Lytechinus pictus: one gene and its partner. The protein of the gene in region 1 interacts with the protein of each later gene in a pairwise test. Links are inferred from orthologs where the notes say so. Each region holds a gene or a part of one and is shown on either strand. Other genes may lie near its edges.

What was found. The genes of interacting proteins can lie anywhere in the genome.
Region 2: the proteins of developmentally-regulated GTP-binding protein 2-like (region 1) and RWD domain-containing protein 1-like interact in binary tests that used the Homo sapiens proteins (3 or more experiments, as listed by UniProt). The link is inferred for Lytechinus pictus from reciprocal best matches to the Homo sapiens genes DRG2 and RWDD1.

The regions. Positions count from the first base shown.
Region 1 is NC_087254.1:35,189,887-35,197,613, forward strand, and holds the start of developmentally-regulated GTP-binding protein 2-like, read right to left. Parts: upstream 3,015-7,727; 5' UTR 2,868-3,014; coding exon 2,804-2,867; intron 539-2,803; coding exon 450-538; intron 1-449. UniProt on the Homo sapiens protein: Catalyzes the conversion of GTP to GDP through hydrolysis of the gamma-phosphate bond in GTP. When hydroxylated at C-3 of 'Lys-21' by JMJD7, may bind to RNA and play a role in translation.
Region 2 is NC_087248.1:28,080,676-28,088,302, forward strand, and holds the start of RWD domain-containing protein 1-like, read right to left. Parts: upstream 3,007-7,627; 5' UTR 2,880-3,006; coding exon 2,807-2,879; intron 1-2,806. UniProt on the Homo sapiens protein: Protects DRG2 from proteolytic degradation.

The sequences.
Region 1 (7,727 bases):
CACTAAAATTATACACTAAATCATAATACAGATGCTCTTTCTAACTTAGGCATAAATCTGTAACATCATGCAATTCAAGGGGGGGGGGGGTGGAAAAATAGATCACCCCCCTGAACAATAGGTGTGATGCAAGGATTTACACCAGTGCTTCCTAAGGTTCTATTAAGAGCAAATCAAAACAAGTGTGATACCTGTACTCTGGTATCTCCTAATTTCATCACTTCAAAACCCTCTCCCTCTAAACATGAAGGACATTTTTTTTTTTTTAAACGTACACCATGACCACCCCTAATGATCATATTGACTTGAATTCAGCCTGTGCACTGTACATTGATAAAATTTGTCTATATTATAAAATATCTCACTATGCTAACTGAATATTAAGCAGTGTTGTTATTGCACCAAAAAGTAAGCTTTAATAGTTTTATCACTGTATTAGTTTGACTAACCTTGGCTCCACTCTTTCCTGTAGGTTCCAAAAGTTGAGACCTGTACTTGGCAAGCTTGGCTTTCAACAGACCCAGATGGTATTCCGTTGCTAGCATACAAAGATTGGGTAGGAATACGATATTGAAAGAATGTACATTTCAACTTGACATTGATGTTGAAAAAGTCCATAATACTAATAATTCTACATGTTACATCACCAGGTATCTCAAATTATTCGATAATGTTATTGTTGCCTGGAGTTCCTTTCAAGTTTGAAAAATATTCCTAAATTGATATTTCAATGTTTTGGAATATAATTCGAGGCCTCAATTATTATCATGAAATTTGCCGCCTCTCTTCTAGCTTCTTGTATGTACGTGTGTATACATGCTCTCATTGTGTAAAAATTAAATTGTGTGGAAGGACGTCACCAGCATTGATAAAATACATGAATGGACTGGTGACTTATTGTCGACTTTTAATTCATATTTCAATTAAAATGAATTTGGCCCCTTAAACTAAATAAAGAGGGATCTAAAGTCTTTTTCGACTAGACTCAACATAGAAAGATCTAGTTTAGATTCCTTTCGCGGGAACATCTGAGAGGACAGCATCCACGAGAGTCGTCCTAAAAAAAAAAAAAAAAAAAGGATAATTCAATGGCAGGCCTGTAGGGCACATTTAACAGAGACTTTGTGCAGATGTCCAAGATTTCCACACCCGAAATAGGGGTTCCTTTACAAATTACAAATATTCTATTCCCATATCATACCTGGTTTGAGAGCCTAATCCAATGTCTGGCTTTACACAAGGGGGACTGAGACTAGACATGGGATTAAATGTAAGCTGAAATTGCAAGTATGCAAAATGGGGATTTGCGTTCAGGTTTGAGATGAGGGATTATCGATTGCATTTCTAACTGGACCTTTTATTGGGCATGGTGGTTTAGAGGATTTTGGATCACAGGTCTTGTAAAAGTCAGTCTCGCAGCAGTCGGTGTGAATTAATTACATACCTTTTTGCATTGTACATCATCATGATCTGGGAGGTTTTTACAATTGTTCAGCCACTTTTTACATTCTACCCCTGAAAAAAACACCTTGTTTCCACTTTTTTTACCTTGCGGATGCAGATAAATTTATAAAAGTGACAATGAACTCACTCATGGGCTGATATATGGTAACCATGCATGTCCCCCTAAGGAGTCGAAAAAGGGTCAGATTTCAAACCCATTCAACATTTTTTTTTAAATTTACTTTTTAACAGGTTCTTTGACATTTGCACCATTTATTTTGATGTAAAACTAAAAGCCCCATTTAAAAATTAAGGGTACCTTTTACAAAAAAAAAAATATTGTCATTTTAATAGATCTACATAGTTTATGAGTAGAAATTGACACCAATGGAAGCCCAGAATTAGTCAGGGCCAGGGATGAAGCCAGTTAACGTTCAATTCTTAGATGCTTGGACGACCATGGGTAGGATGGGGGGGGGGGGGGGGGTCGGGTATCTGGACACTTTATATTTTTGAAGCCTTCTTTTTTGTCTTTGGATCACACTAAAAACATGAATTCAATAGTTGTAATCATCTTCTATTTTGTTCTCTATAATATTTCCTAACATTTTGTACTAAAAGTTGATGAAACTTTGCTTGTAAATTTTTCCAAATTTCCAACTTTCTAAAATTGATCGTCTGGAAACACAACAAATGGCTGGGTATACCACTTTGCTCAGTCTGTGACCCCCCATCCCCCACCCATTCTTAAAGGTCAAGTCCACCCCAGGAAAATGCTGCCTTGAATAAATAGAGAAAAATCAAACTAGCATAGTGCTGAAAATTTAATCAAAATCGGATGTAAAAATGTCTATAAGAAAGTTATGACATTTTAAAGTTTTGATTATTTTTCACAAAACAGTGATACACACAACTAGGTGACTCGGTTGATGATGTCCATCACTCACTATTTCTTCTGTTTTTTATTGTTTGAATTATACAATATTTCATATTTTATAGATTTGACAATAAGGACAAATTTTTTGTCATGTTTGTTGGGGTGGACTTGTCCTTTTTTAAATGCAAAGAAAAAAAAAATTAGTGTCTATCTTACTAGTGTCTAGGCCTATGTCAGAATAAATTAAAGTTTAGTTTTATTTCAATTTAACTCAACTCAAGACATTGTCTGTTGTTGACGCCCACAATCAAGTGTTGATGTCAAGTCTACGTATCCCGCATATTATTGCTGAATATATTGGGAGTTGCATTCGCCCGGCCCGGAGCTCCTTAGCCGGCCCTCGCAGAGCAACTCCGCGGGACCTTCTCCCGTGCACCAACAATTAGTCCCTCGATCGCCCTTCCACCACACGAGCATACTTACCTTTATTTTTCTGCGTCCTTGCGATTTCCCTCTCTATCTCAGCTATCTTCTCTAGAATCCCCATTTTCTGATATTCAACTAAAAAAGTACAGGAAACAAACAAAACAGTTAAGGCCTAGATAATCAAGCTGACAATGTTCTAATTTTTCAACTCGATTTCAATAAAGACATGCACGATCTTCGAGAGCTGCACTAATGTCCTTTTTTCACCGCAGAGGGCTCACACTGAATTGGGTTGCCGATGTGGGCGAGTGGTCTGAGCACCCGCCACACATGCCCGGTACACATGAAAGTCCGGGGTGCGATTCCCAACACGGCACTGTAAACCTTAAACCAAACCAAACCCACTGAACTGGAAATGCGTTGTTTTCAGCTCAGTGCTTACACCCCGTTCTGAAACTACGACCCACGTACCGCGAGCGGCGAGACACTTTATTGTTTCCCATGAAATATTCATTAAAAATTAAAAACTAAAAAAAAAAAAAAAAAAAAAAAAAAATCAAAAGTAATGTAGGCCTAATTATACGAGACTCTGCCTAAGTCGAATCTCTTGGGACCATGAATATCTGTTCGACTTAGAAGATCGCGTTCGGGGAATTCGTCGACTCGACCTATGGAAGTCGACTTGTGCAGAGGACGGTATCATGCATGACCTCGACCTTGTTTAATAAAAACTTCAATCCTATACAGTGCGTATTTTAAAAAACGGGACAGTTTTGAAAAGTCTATAAAAATTTGTTTCAAAATATTATATCTATATTTTGATGTTAATAGATGCTCTGAGATCTTATCTTTGAAATGCCATTTAAAAAAATAAATGTTGTTCATGCTTGAACGAACACGGGACGTTTTTGTCGGGGGTTCAAAAATGGCGCCAAAATGGCAGAAATGAGAAATTTGATGATTAGACTCTTGGCTAATAAGCAGACTTTCTCTTAATCTTTTCATTATCTTTGCCATAATTTTCGAATTATGCTGTCAAATTTCATTTACAAATTTATTTATTTACCTGAATTATTTTGTTTTTCATTTAAACTTCTTTTACCTTTGAATTTTCCTTCATAAGTAAGAAAAGAAGACTCTTTGTCAACCCAAGTAGGGAGATTTGCATTATTAATTGGGAGAATTTGTAATTATTCAAATCCTTTTATTATGTGAAACAAATTATGTTATGGTACGTATAAAAGACATGAATCCTATTTTCAAGGGGTTATTGAATCCTTCAAAAAGTTTAATTATGTGCTTGACAGGACAAACAGGAAAGGATTCATGTCTTTCAATGGCAATGGTGTATTGAGTCAATTTTGAAGGAACAAGATATGGCAGATCGAAGCGAGCAAGCAAAAATTTCCACTTTTTCATAAAAAAATATCAAATTTTGTGATTTTGACATAATATTCAGAATATGATATCATATTTCACTTTCTATGTTTTCTGTTATTTTTCTTTCCACCTTTTTTTTTCTTGGTCATGATTTTCTTTTAATTTTTTTGGGGGAGCACCCCGAGCCCCCATCCATCAGTATGCCACAGTTCAAAGGCACCATAACCTTTTGTAGCACACAATGAAAGGATTTGAAGGGAAATAAAAGCTCTCCCATACTTCGGTTTAAAAAAAATTGTTCTTGCCTAAAGAAGGAATATTCAAAGCTAAAAGATAACATTTTAAAAAGGAACAACAGAAATATTCAAGCAAATAAGTAGACTTGGAAATGAATTTTGACCGCATAATTCGAAAATTATGGCAAAGATAATGAAAAGGTTAAGAGGAAGTCTGCTGATTAGCAAGAAGTCCGACCATCATATTTATCATTTGATGCCATTTTGGCGCAAGCCTCCTTTTTAACCCCAGACAAAAACATTCCGTGTTCGCTCAAGCATGAACAAAACTATTTTTAAAAATAACATTTGAAGGATAAGACCCCAGAGCACCTATTAACACCAAAATATAGAGATCATAATTTGAAACAAAAATTGTATAGACTTTTCAAATCTGTCCCGTTTTTTATACGCACTGTATAGGCCCTATATAGGCACATCCCTTGTGGTGAGGAGACAATTAGGGCACAACTTTTTGCAGAAGTTTTAACAGTTTCATCAACATGATCAATGAGCAAGTTTACTACTGCACAATCATTATTCTCCAAATATTTTTTTTCTAGCTAGCTATATATACACAACAAAAAATGTAAGTCCCCCCTCAAACAAACATCAATAATTTCCGAACCAATGCTAGTTTTTAATATATTTTTACATGAGCGTGTAGGTAATTTTATAAGTTACCCTCTGAGTAAACGTTATGGATGTATTTTACGTCATGCATCAGTGAGCACCGTCAGAAGGCAAAAATGTCACTTTTCAAAAGTCACAAGCTAAATATCATGACTTTGATTCCATTTTATTGGAACTAATTCCACATTCTCATCATGAAAAATAGTCAGAAGGCTTGTAAAAGGTACTTTCTAAAAGACAATACAACTTTTTTGGCTAAATTTCACGGTTGAATAAACACAAGTACAAATTTGCTATAATTGGATTTTTTACACATTTCTATCAATAAAAATGATAGAATATGATGACAGTTATTTTTGGGAAGAGTATATTCAACAATATTCATAATTTCACGGTTCAATAAACATTTATTGAAAACAAAAAATACGATTTTCAAATATCATAGACAAGTATTGTTTCATTTTGGTAACTGAAAATGATCTTTTCTCAACTTGTTCGTAATGTTCATGACCAATTAACATGCTTCAATGATTCAAAGGCGTTTAATTAAACATTCACGCTTGAATGAACATGTGGAATGTGATTAGCTCTTTTTTACGTTATTGGAAAAAATGCAATTTGTAACTATGGATATCTGTCACAAACCTCCTTGCATAGTTCATTTGATTTGATTTTTATGAAAATCCCGATGTTTAATGCATCAGTGAGCACACAATATTCGAAAATTATGCAAATGAGAAGAAAGTTCAAGGCCTTGTCCCCACTCTGTGCCATATCGAATGGTTATTTTGGTGTGCGCGCCTTTTGGATAGTGTTACTCTGAAGCCATGTGCGAAGTTTCATGAAATAACTGTTGGCAGAAGTAACAAAAACCGTCCATGAAACCATGGACCTATTACAACAAACCCTCATTTCATATTTGTTAAAATGTTGACTTCCTCTCTCATAGACTTGTGTACATTATGGGTGCATATCTTTAAGAATAATTAACCCCTTATTCAATATGGTGGAACTTTTTTCCAAGGCTGTCTTTAGCAATGTCATTTGGCAGTAATGTTTATCAACCTATGGGCAGAATTCTGTGCAAAAATGAAATCGATCTGTTTATTTATGAATGAGTGAGCACGCATCAAAGTGGGAAAATTAGTATTTTCAACGTCAGAGACTCATTTTAAAGGGTAATAAAGTGAATATTGGGGGCAAATTCGGTTTCAAATGTGACTTTAATTGCTGTTGTTTTTATCATCCACCATTTCTATCACCACACACTTTCCGAACTTTAAACATTTTCATGGTTGAGCGAGCACATTCGAAAACTTAGGAATGAATACTCTTTTTACTGCATAAATGTATTCTTTTCCTAACAATTTCTCATGATCAGTTTAATTTATGGACAAATCAGTGCTGGACCCAGAATTTTAAATGGGGGAGGGGCCTATAATCGGGGGAGCCACCAACATTTTCAAATTTTAACATGATCTAACAAGTTGTAGAGATACTACCATAAACCCCTATGATGATACGTCACAATACAGGGAACGGTTTTCGACGTGGGGGGGGGGGCTGACCATGCAAAAAATCATTATCTTATGGTAATTTTTACATTTTTGTACATGCTTGAGGCTGAAGCCCTCCCGACCCAGCCCCCTCCCCCGCTTCCGCGGCCCCTGCAATACATTGTGCTCACTCAACCATGAACATACGATATCAAATTGTGTGTAGAGTGGCTAAATGATGGATAGTTAAACATCATAACACCATAAAATTCACCTAAAAACAACTTTTGCCCAACTTTGTATTTGCACAATCTAAAAAACGACTCTTGTGACTTTCAAAAATTGTCATTTTTAATTCAATCTTTAATTACTCATGCATGACTCAACCGATCAATCTCATTTTTCCTCAGGAGTTGTTTAATGAGTGTACAAAACCACCTACGAAATATATCTCGAAATAATTCCGCTCAAAAGTTACAGCAATTTACTTACTTTTTTTGTTGTGTATAGATCAGGGGCGGATCCAGCTTTTTATAAAGGGGGGGGGGTTGGGGTGGTATGCGAGGGAGCGTAGCGACCGAGTCCAAGCGAGCGGAGCGAGCGAGGGGGGAGGGTGTGGGAGGGGGGTGTCCCCCCTCCCACAGTAGGGACATTTTTTGAAAATCTGTGTGTGAAAATGGCGTTTTCTTGCATTACAAGTTTTAAAAAAAAGATAAGATTTTAAAAAATGGTCCCCGGGTTTTTTTTTGGGGGGGGGTTGCAACCCCCCCAACCCCCCCTCTAGATCCGCTTCTGTAGATACGCAAGAACCATGAGAACAGTGACTGGCTAGAATCCTCGTTATATAGGGTTGCTAATTTCGTAACTTGGGATGTTTTAGGCAACAGTCACGCTTATTCTAGCAACTGGAGGTCGAACATTTATATTACTTTTTCCACTCGTTCGGCATGAACTAGGATAGACTGCAAGTCCCCCACCTTGGTGTCCCTCAAATCCATCCGACTGCGTCCATTGAGTGGGGGAGCAGGGACCTATCCATGGAGGATTAGTCTATTGTTACTGGGGGTGCTGAGCATTGTTACAGCACCCCCAGTAACAATAGTTAATCCTCTGTGGCCAGGTCCATGTGGGGGAGGCATGCAAATTGTAAAAAAAAAAAAAAAAATAGGCATGACTTCTGGCAGAGGTTAACTAATT
Region 2 (7,627 bases), on another chromosome or scaffold:
ACTTTTGCATGTCATAGTCTACCCACGTGATGCCACTACTAGGGACAGTGATTTTCCGCGATCGCGGAAAACGGACGGAATTCACGGAAAGGGCCTTTTGAAACGGAAAGTGGCATTTCAAACGGAAAATCACGGAAAATGTATTTTCCCTCAAAATACATAGAATAGCAACAGAAATTATTCCAATATCACAACAAAATGAGAATATTAAATGGCCACAAACCCCCAGAAAACACGATCTCACTTCGCTACTATCATGACAATTCACACATCGTGACTGTACTCGACATCAGCACACTCGATTGTACCCCGCACACCGTACCCGTACCCGGCCGGCCGGCGCCGGGTTGGGCTTCACATGCACACATATCGTTCAACTACACGGTCGTGTGTTGCTGCCCTCTACGTTTGAAGATGTAACAGCACAATATCGTGGTCTTAAAATCCAAGATGGCGGATTGGCAAAAGCCGTTGACTGATGATAACGATGTCCAAAAACCCCCAAAATTATCGATGAAATATCATTTCACCGTGAAATAATGCTAATAATGTGAAAGGTGAGGATGTATGCATGCTAAATGGGTTTGTAAAAATATTTTATGCACCCGGATAGATACGATTAGAACGGATTCTATTGTGTTGTTGGTACAGTAGCAGATACAAATTTTGACCAGTGCGAGTGCTATTCAATGTGTAAACGGAATTGTCACTTTTCCGTGTGTACAAAGTCTATGGGGAAACGGAATTTCCGTTTTCTGACATGCTGAAACGGAATTTGAGATTTTCTGAAACGGAAAAGGCAATTTTTTGAAACGGAAAATCACTGTCCCTACACTACGTCATTAAGAAAGAAGTTATGACAGGTTCGGAGGTGTCATAAATATTTAGTCAGGTTGTTGTCCCCGATCTTGGCAAAGAGGGCTTCGTGAAACGGTTAGCGGACAAGTAGCTCACTATCTTCGATTTAGTCAAAGTTAGACTTATGACGGTGTTGAGAAACGGGCCCCTGCCTATGTGTGGCAGGCTACTAGCTAGGCGTAGGATCGATTGGAGCAGATTCTCAGATTCTCTCCTCCCTTCATTCTGTCTTCCCACTCTTTCATCCTTTCTTTCTTTATTTTATGTGTGTCCTTCTAATTTTTTTCCCTTATTTTTTCTTTCCCTTCCTTCCTCCCCTCCTGTTTTTCTTTGTTTCTTTCAAAGAATGAAGGAAACATTTTTCTTTCCTTCATGTATTTTTTTCTTCCTCCTTTTTTCTTACTTTCTTTTTCTTTTCTCTCCTTTTTATTTTATCTTTCACACATTCATTTTCCCTTTCTTTCTTGTTCATTTCAAAGAATGACAGAAACCCCTTTTCTTTCTTTTTTATTCTTTCTTTCATCCTTCTTTCTATAATTCTAACTTTCTTTCTTTCTTTTTTCCTTCATTTTCCCCTTAATTTTTTTCTTTCTTCCTCTCAATTAATCTCTTTTCTTTCTCTCCTTCATTCTTTTGTTCAATCTCCCTTCCTTTTCTTGTTGTTCGTTCCTTTTCTTTATGATTTTTTAAACATTGTGCAGCCTTCTCTGACTTTGTTGATTTTTTAATTATTAAAAAATAATCGCTCGGTCGATATTCTAGACTATAGTTTATCCCACTCTAGGCGACACCCCAATACTTACCCGTGCTAATAAACTGGGACTCCACTCACGCGCATTTGGGCCGCCCTAGCTTAGAACTAAGCTTTGTTTTACTAAAAAATAAATCTTGTAATGATTCAATAAATGTTACTTAATAAATTAGTACTGTTAAATCGGTACTCACCGGTTCTTTTCTTGAATTTTCTGGCAATTTCCCACGCTTCTGGCTTCAATTCTGCGGCTGTTCCTGTCGCGGTAGACAGCTACATATGCAACTTTATTTATAAATAGAGCGCCCCTTACGATAGTTGTTAAGAACGCGGCCAAATTGTTAGGTTTTTTGCACTGTGTCCAAGGCGTTTTTATTTTGTTTGATTTTTTATTTTTAATAAATATTTTGTTAAATAGCGATTTTTACGTCAAATATTAAATTCATATCACAAAATATTTTTAATTGTAGAAATATATATAATATCATGCAATTATTCATTCTATATATATTTTATAATAAAATGTATAATTGTTGCGGTCTTTAAAAAAGGATAGTCGATTGATCAGGTGATGACCACACGTATCACGTGATCTGAAAATCAGCTTCATACCGCTTTGATCGCACTCGACGGTGACCGGACTGACTGCCAAAAAAAGATCGAAAATGACTCAAATGTAAGTTTTCCTTTATTTTATTAAATTCAAATTAGGAATAGGAATATATTTAATGGGCAATCTTTTAATAAATGATAAACAAACGAGGACAAAACTCATATTTTGGGAGTAATATCATACTTGGGTGCAGGAAACAGTACGTTTAGAAGTTCTAACCTGTTTTTAACGCATTGTCGCCTATGAGGTCCATACATGTTAATGTTTGGACCTCATTGGTACTAGGAGTGGTTTATCCGGCTTGGAGCCTTCTTCAAGACTTCAGCCTTGCTTGGTCGATCCGCTGGAGCATTTGATTGTGCTTTGTTAATCGTCCCGTATTTCATTTTGTGAAACTGGTCACCCTGCTAGGGGCCTCCTGGCTAGTCACGTCTTTCCACATAATTTTTTAAAGATCGGTCCCAGTCTCCCCAGACGTAAATTCTGTTTAAACAAAAAACACTGACACACACACGTGGCAATATGTGGGACTATGAAAAAAAAACGAACGTTACAAAAAGTTTGACAACTCGCGGAAAACTTACCCGAAAATTCATCTGGATATATTGATTCTAAGGCTTCAATTTCATTGACTTGCTCCTCCTTGTAGTCAGTCATTTGTATTTTTAGTCGTTGAAACCACCATAAACTCTAAAGTCTGCTTGTAAAGCAAGGAGTTCCAAAATATTTCTTTATATTTTCTACAATCCGGTTCGTACTCATGTGTGTGTAAGCATGATAAGGTGTCGTTGACGATGAAAATAGAAAACTGAAGAAAAAAAATCTATGGCTTGGTTCTCTCTCGAAAGTTGGAACTTTGAGTTTGAGGGGGGGGGGGCAGTGGCGTACCTGGCATATTTCGTCAGGGGGGGCAAGCGACAAGGATGATCAAGGTGGGGGATAGTAGGCATGGACGTATATAGGGGGGAGGCTGATAATAATTGCCCAAATATCAACTTCACAGTTTGTAATTTTGGAGCGAGCGAACATTTTTTTCCTTGTACGCCACGGTGTACACTCACTATTTCTTTTGTATTTTATTATATGAAATATGAAATATAATTAATTTTCTCCTCATTGTCAAGTGATACAACGATTAATTCCTCCCTGAACATGTGGAATTAGCATTGTTTAATACTATATGGTTCAGTCAAGTTGTTCCTTATTGTCAAATCTATAAAAAATGAAATATTGTATAATTCAAAGAATAAAAAACAAAAGAAATAGTGAGTGATGGACATCATCGACGGGGACGCTTAGTTGTGCATATCACTGTTTTGTGAAAAATAAGCGATACTTTAAAATGTCATAACTTTCTTATTTTACATCCGATTTTGATGAAATTTTCAGCACTATGTTAGTTTGATTTTTTTCTATTTATTCAAGTCAGCATTTTCCTGGGGTAGACTTGACCTTTAAGAAAATTTCATTTACTATACAGAATAGACAAACGAATTAAGCAGATGTATCCAGGGGCACGAGGGAGAAGAAGAAATTGGCAAAAGAAAACTTTCAGGTCAATCAAAATAATAATTTCACTCGAGCTTTGCATCGCATTGCCTGCTTGAAAAGAAAAAAAAATATAAATAATTAAGTTTCCTATTCATGAGGATTTTTTGGCACGGGCCTAAAAATGTCTCGTTTTCAAGCCAATATGCAGAAGAAAGAAAGAAAAGAAATAGCTTGCGCTTTGCATATTAATTAGTATGTTACAATCATCATGTTCATGATAACTAAATAAGGGTGCATAAACATTGACTCGTTATCCCTATCAGGTCCGAATTATCAATAAAAAAGGAAGCAAAAAACAAACAAAGAAACAAACATAAATAAATAAATAACAAAATAAGACGAATGAGCTCACGCTTCACTCTTTGCGTTTTTCTTGAGTGAAGTTCGTATGAAAAGGGGGACTTGAACAAATTGAATTAAATGCAGGAAACATAATGAAAATCAAAGTAAACTCTAATAAAATTGATTTAAAGTGCATATGTAGACATGTAGATATTATGCCGATCAAATAAGTCAGCAGTACTTAGCATTTTGTGTCCACAATGGCTCTAATGGCTGATGTAAGTACTTTTAGCCTTATTTTACAAACAAAATAATATAGGCCATGCAATTCTTACGCGCGAAGTATGAGATATAATTCTTAATAATACCTGAAAGGGGATAATTTTAAGCACTTTTATTGCATTCATGATTACGAAAACAATGCGAGTGCGTATCACAATTTCTTGGTATTGTGACCTGATCGAAATGGGACCTTTTCACCCATTAACATAATTTTCTAACCGTAATGCGAGCGCGAAGCGCAGTGCTGATTTCTGTTTATACATCGAGTTGAAAAGATGATAAAGCATTTGTGACCTGAATACATATGCCTATCTCATTAAATAAAACAAACAATAAATTTTAGCACCATGAGCACGAAACGCGAGTTGAAATGTGATATACACCGACCTGATATAAGGAAAGAAAAGATACTTTGATTGGGATATAAAATAATGTTATCAAGATATACGCTACACCCATTGTCGTAATGCATATCCGATGATTGTATTTCCCCATTTGTGTGTGTGTGGATGGGTGGGTGGTTATATGTGTGTGTGAATTGTTGTGTGTCTCCGTCTGTGAAGAGAATGTGTGGGTGTGTTCATTATATGTGAGGACCTGAGAAGAGAACATACGTGGGTGTGTTAATTCTACTTGGGCCCGGTATGTGTCTCCGTCTGTGAAGAGAATGTATGGGTGTGTTCATTATATGTGAGGACCTGAGAAGAGAATATACGTGGGTGTGTTCATTCTGCTTGGGCGTGAGTGGAAGGGTGTGTGTCTCCGTCTGTGAAGAGAATGTGTGGGTGTGTTCATTATATGTGAGGACCTGAGAAGAGAACATACGTGGGTGTGTTCATTCTACTTGGGCCCGAGTGGAAGGGTGTGTGCATGTCTCCATCTGTGAAGAGAATGTGTGGGTGTGTTCATTATATGTGAGGGCCTGAGAAGAGAACATACGTGGGTGTGTTCATTCTACTTGGGCCCGAGTGGAAGGGTGTGTGTCTCCGTCTGTGAAGAGAATGTGTGGGTGTGTTCATTACATGAGGGCCTGAGAAGAGAATATACGTGGGTGTGTTCATTCTGCTTGGGCTTGAGTGGAAGGGTGTGTGTTATTTCTGTGATGAGAATTTATGCGGGGTGTAATTACGTGAGGGCCTGATTAGAAAGAAGTATGTGTGTTTTTGTGATGGGTGCATGTGGGTGTGTTAAATACGTGAGAGGGTGCATGAGTAGAAGGGTGTGTGTCAAATGTGGGTGTGTAAATTACATAAAAGGGCCTGATTAGAACGATGTGCGTGACATGTCTGTCATGATAGTGTATTTGGACTGAGTGACGGGTGTATATCTGTGGTGACAGTGCACGTGGGCATGGTGGGTGTGTTCAAAGAACTACGTTTGATCAGAAATCACATAAGTTCGCTAAACAAAGGAAATAATCAGCCCAGCGCAGGGGCGACGGAAAGGGCGACACTTGCCCCCCCCCCCCCCCCCCTCCGCAGGAAAGATTTTTTTTTTTCAAAATGAAATACCGTTTTTTTTTAAGTAAAAGCTTATACATTAAGTTAGAAAATAAAACAAAAATTGGATCGCGCTTCGCGATCGCATCAATTGTTGTTTAGTAAAGCCCCTTTCACAATTGACGTACGACCTGTTTACGACCGCCTGCAACAGATTTTTCTTGTTGTTGCACGATCGATCTCTTGGTGTCTTGCGAGCACTCGCAGTGGTTGTAGACGAACGCACGAATTTGAGGTGGTCGGAGGTGGTCGTGACTGGTCGCATCTGAATCTGAACATGTTCAAAATCCAAACGCGATCAAATACGATTGGTTTACTCGCATCAGGTCGTACCATCGGTCGGGCGATCATCGTGTGAGTGTTGTTCAACGTTGTACGACTTGGTGCGAGAGGTGACACAACTACGTATAGTCGCATTTAGTCGACTGGAGGTCGTACAACACTTGCACATGCGCTAGATACCTACAGAGACCAGTCTTGCGACTGGTTGCGATAATATAAGACTGTTGCAAGACCGATCGAAATTACGGCTTACAACATTCCACTACCGTTGCATTCGCATGTATGCGACCGTACAGCCCCTTTCACAATTGACATCCGACCAGTTTACGACCGCCTGCAACAGTTTTTTTTCTGCTGTTGCACGATCGATCTCTTGGTGACTTGCGAGCACTCGCAGTCGTTGTAGACGGTCGCACGAACTCGAGGTGGTCGTGACTGGTCACATCTGAACTTTGAACATGTTCAAAATCCGAACGCGATCAAATACGACCGATTCACTCGCATCAGCTCGTATCCGGGGTCGTACCATCGGTCGGGCGATCATCGTGGGAGTGTTGTTCAACGTTGCACGACTTGGTGCGAGAGGTGGCACAACTAAGTAGTCGCATTTACTCGACTGGAGGTCGTACAACACTTGCACATGTGCTAGCGACCTACATGTACAGAGACCTGTCTTGCGACTGGGTGCGATAATATGATGTGCCATAAGACTGTTGCAAGACCGATCGCAACGGCTTACAACATTGCACTACCGTTGTGTGCGACCGTTCCCCTCGCAATCCCTCGTGCAACACTCGCATGTGATCGCACGAGCACAATAGGATCATAATCGACTTACTCGTGCAACGGGTTTTACTGGTTGTTTTTGTTGTACGACAGCTGTTGCAACTGTGAAAGCCTATGTGCGATATTATGAGATGACTGGCGATTGATGCCTGTTGCAGCCTGTCGCACGACCAAAAGGTCGCAAGTGGTCGTACGTCAATTGTGAAAGGGGCTTAAGGTACACTCTACACTCAAATCCTGTTCATGGTTACAAATATGCTTAGAATGTACAGTTTTCAGCTTTGAATATTACACATTTTTTAGTCACATTTCGCTCTCTCATCAATTATTGTTTAAGTTACCCATTCTGTTCCTGTATACTAAACAAATGCTTAGAATATCCGGTTTTCAGGTTGAAATGTCACAAACTTTCAGCTCACGCTTCGCCCTCGCATATTATTCAATCGGAGTATCTTATTCATGGGTCACAGGTTCCTTTTCTGGTCAGCATAGTAAAAAAATCAGCTCGCCCTTCGCGCTCGCGTTAATTCTTATAATCCCTATCGTAGTTAAATACACATGGAGGAGCCGTGGTGTAGTGGTTCTGACTCTCGCCTTGTAAACAGAGGGTCGTGTGTACGAATCCCACCGCGGTCTGGCGTCCTTTGGCAAGGCGTTAATCCACACTTTGCCACTCTCGACCCAGGTGCTAAATGGGTACCCGGTAGGATGTGAAAGTCATTG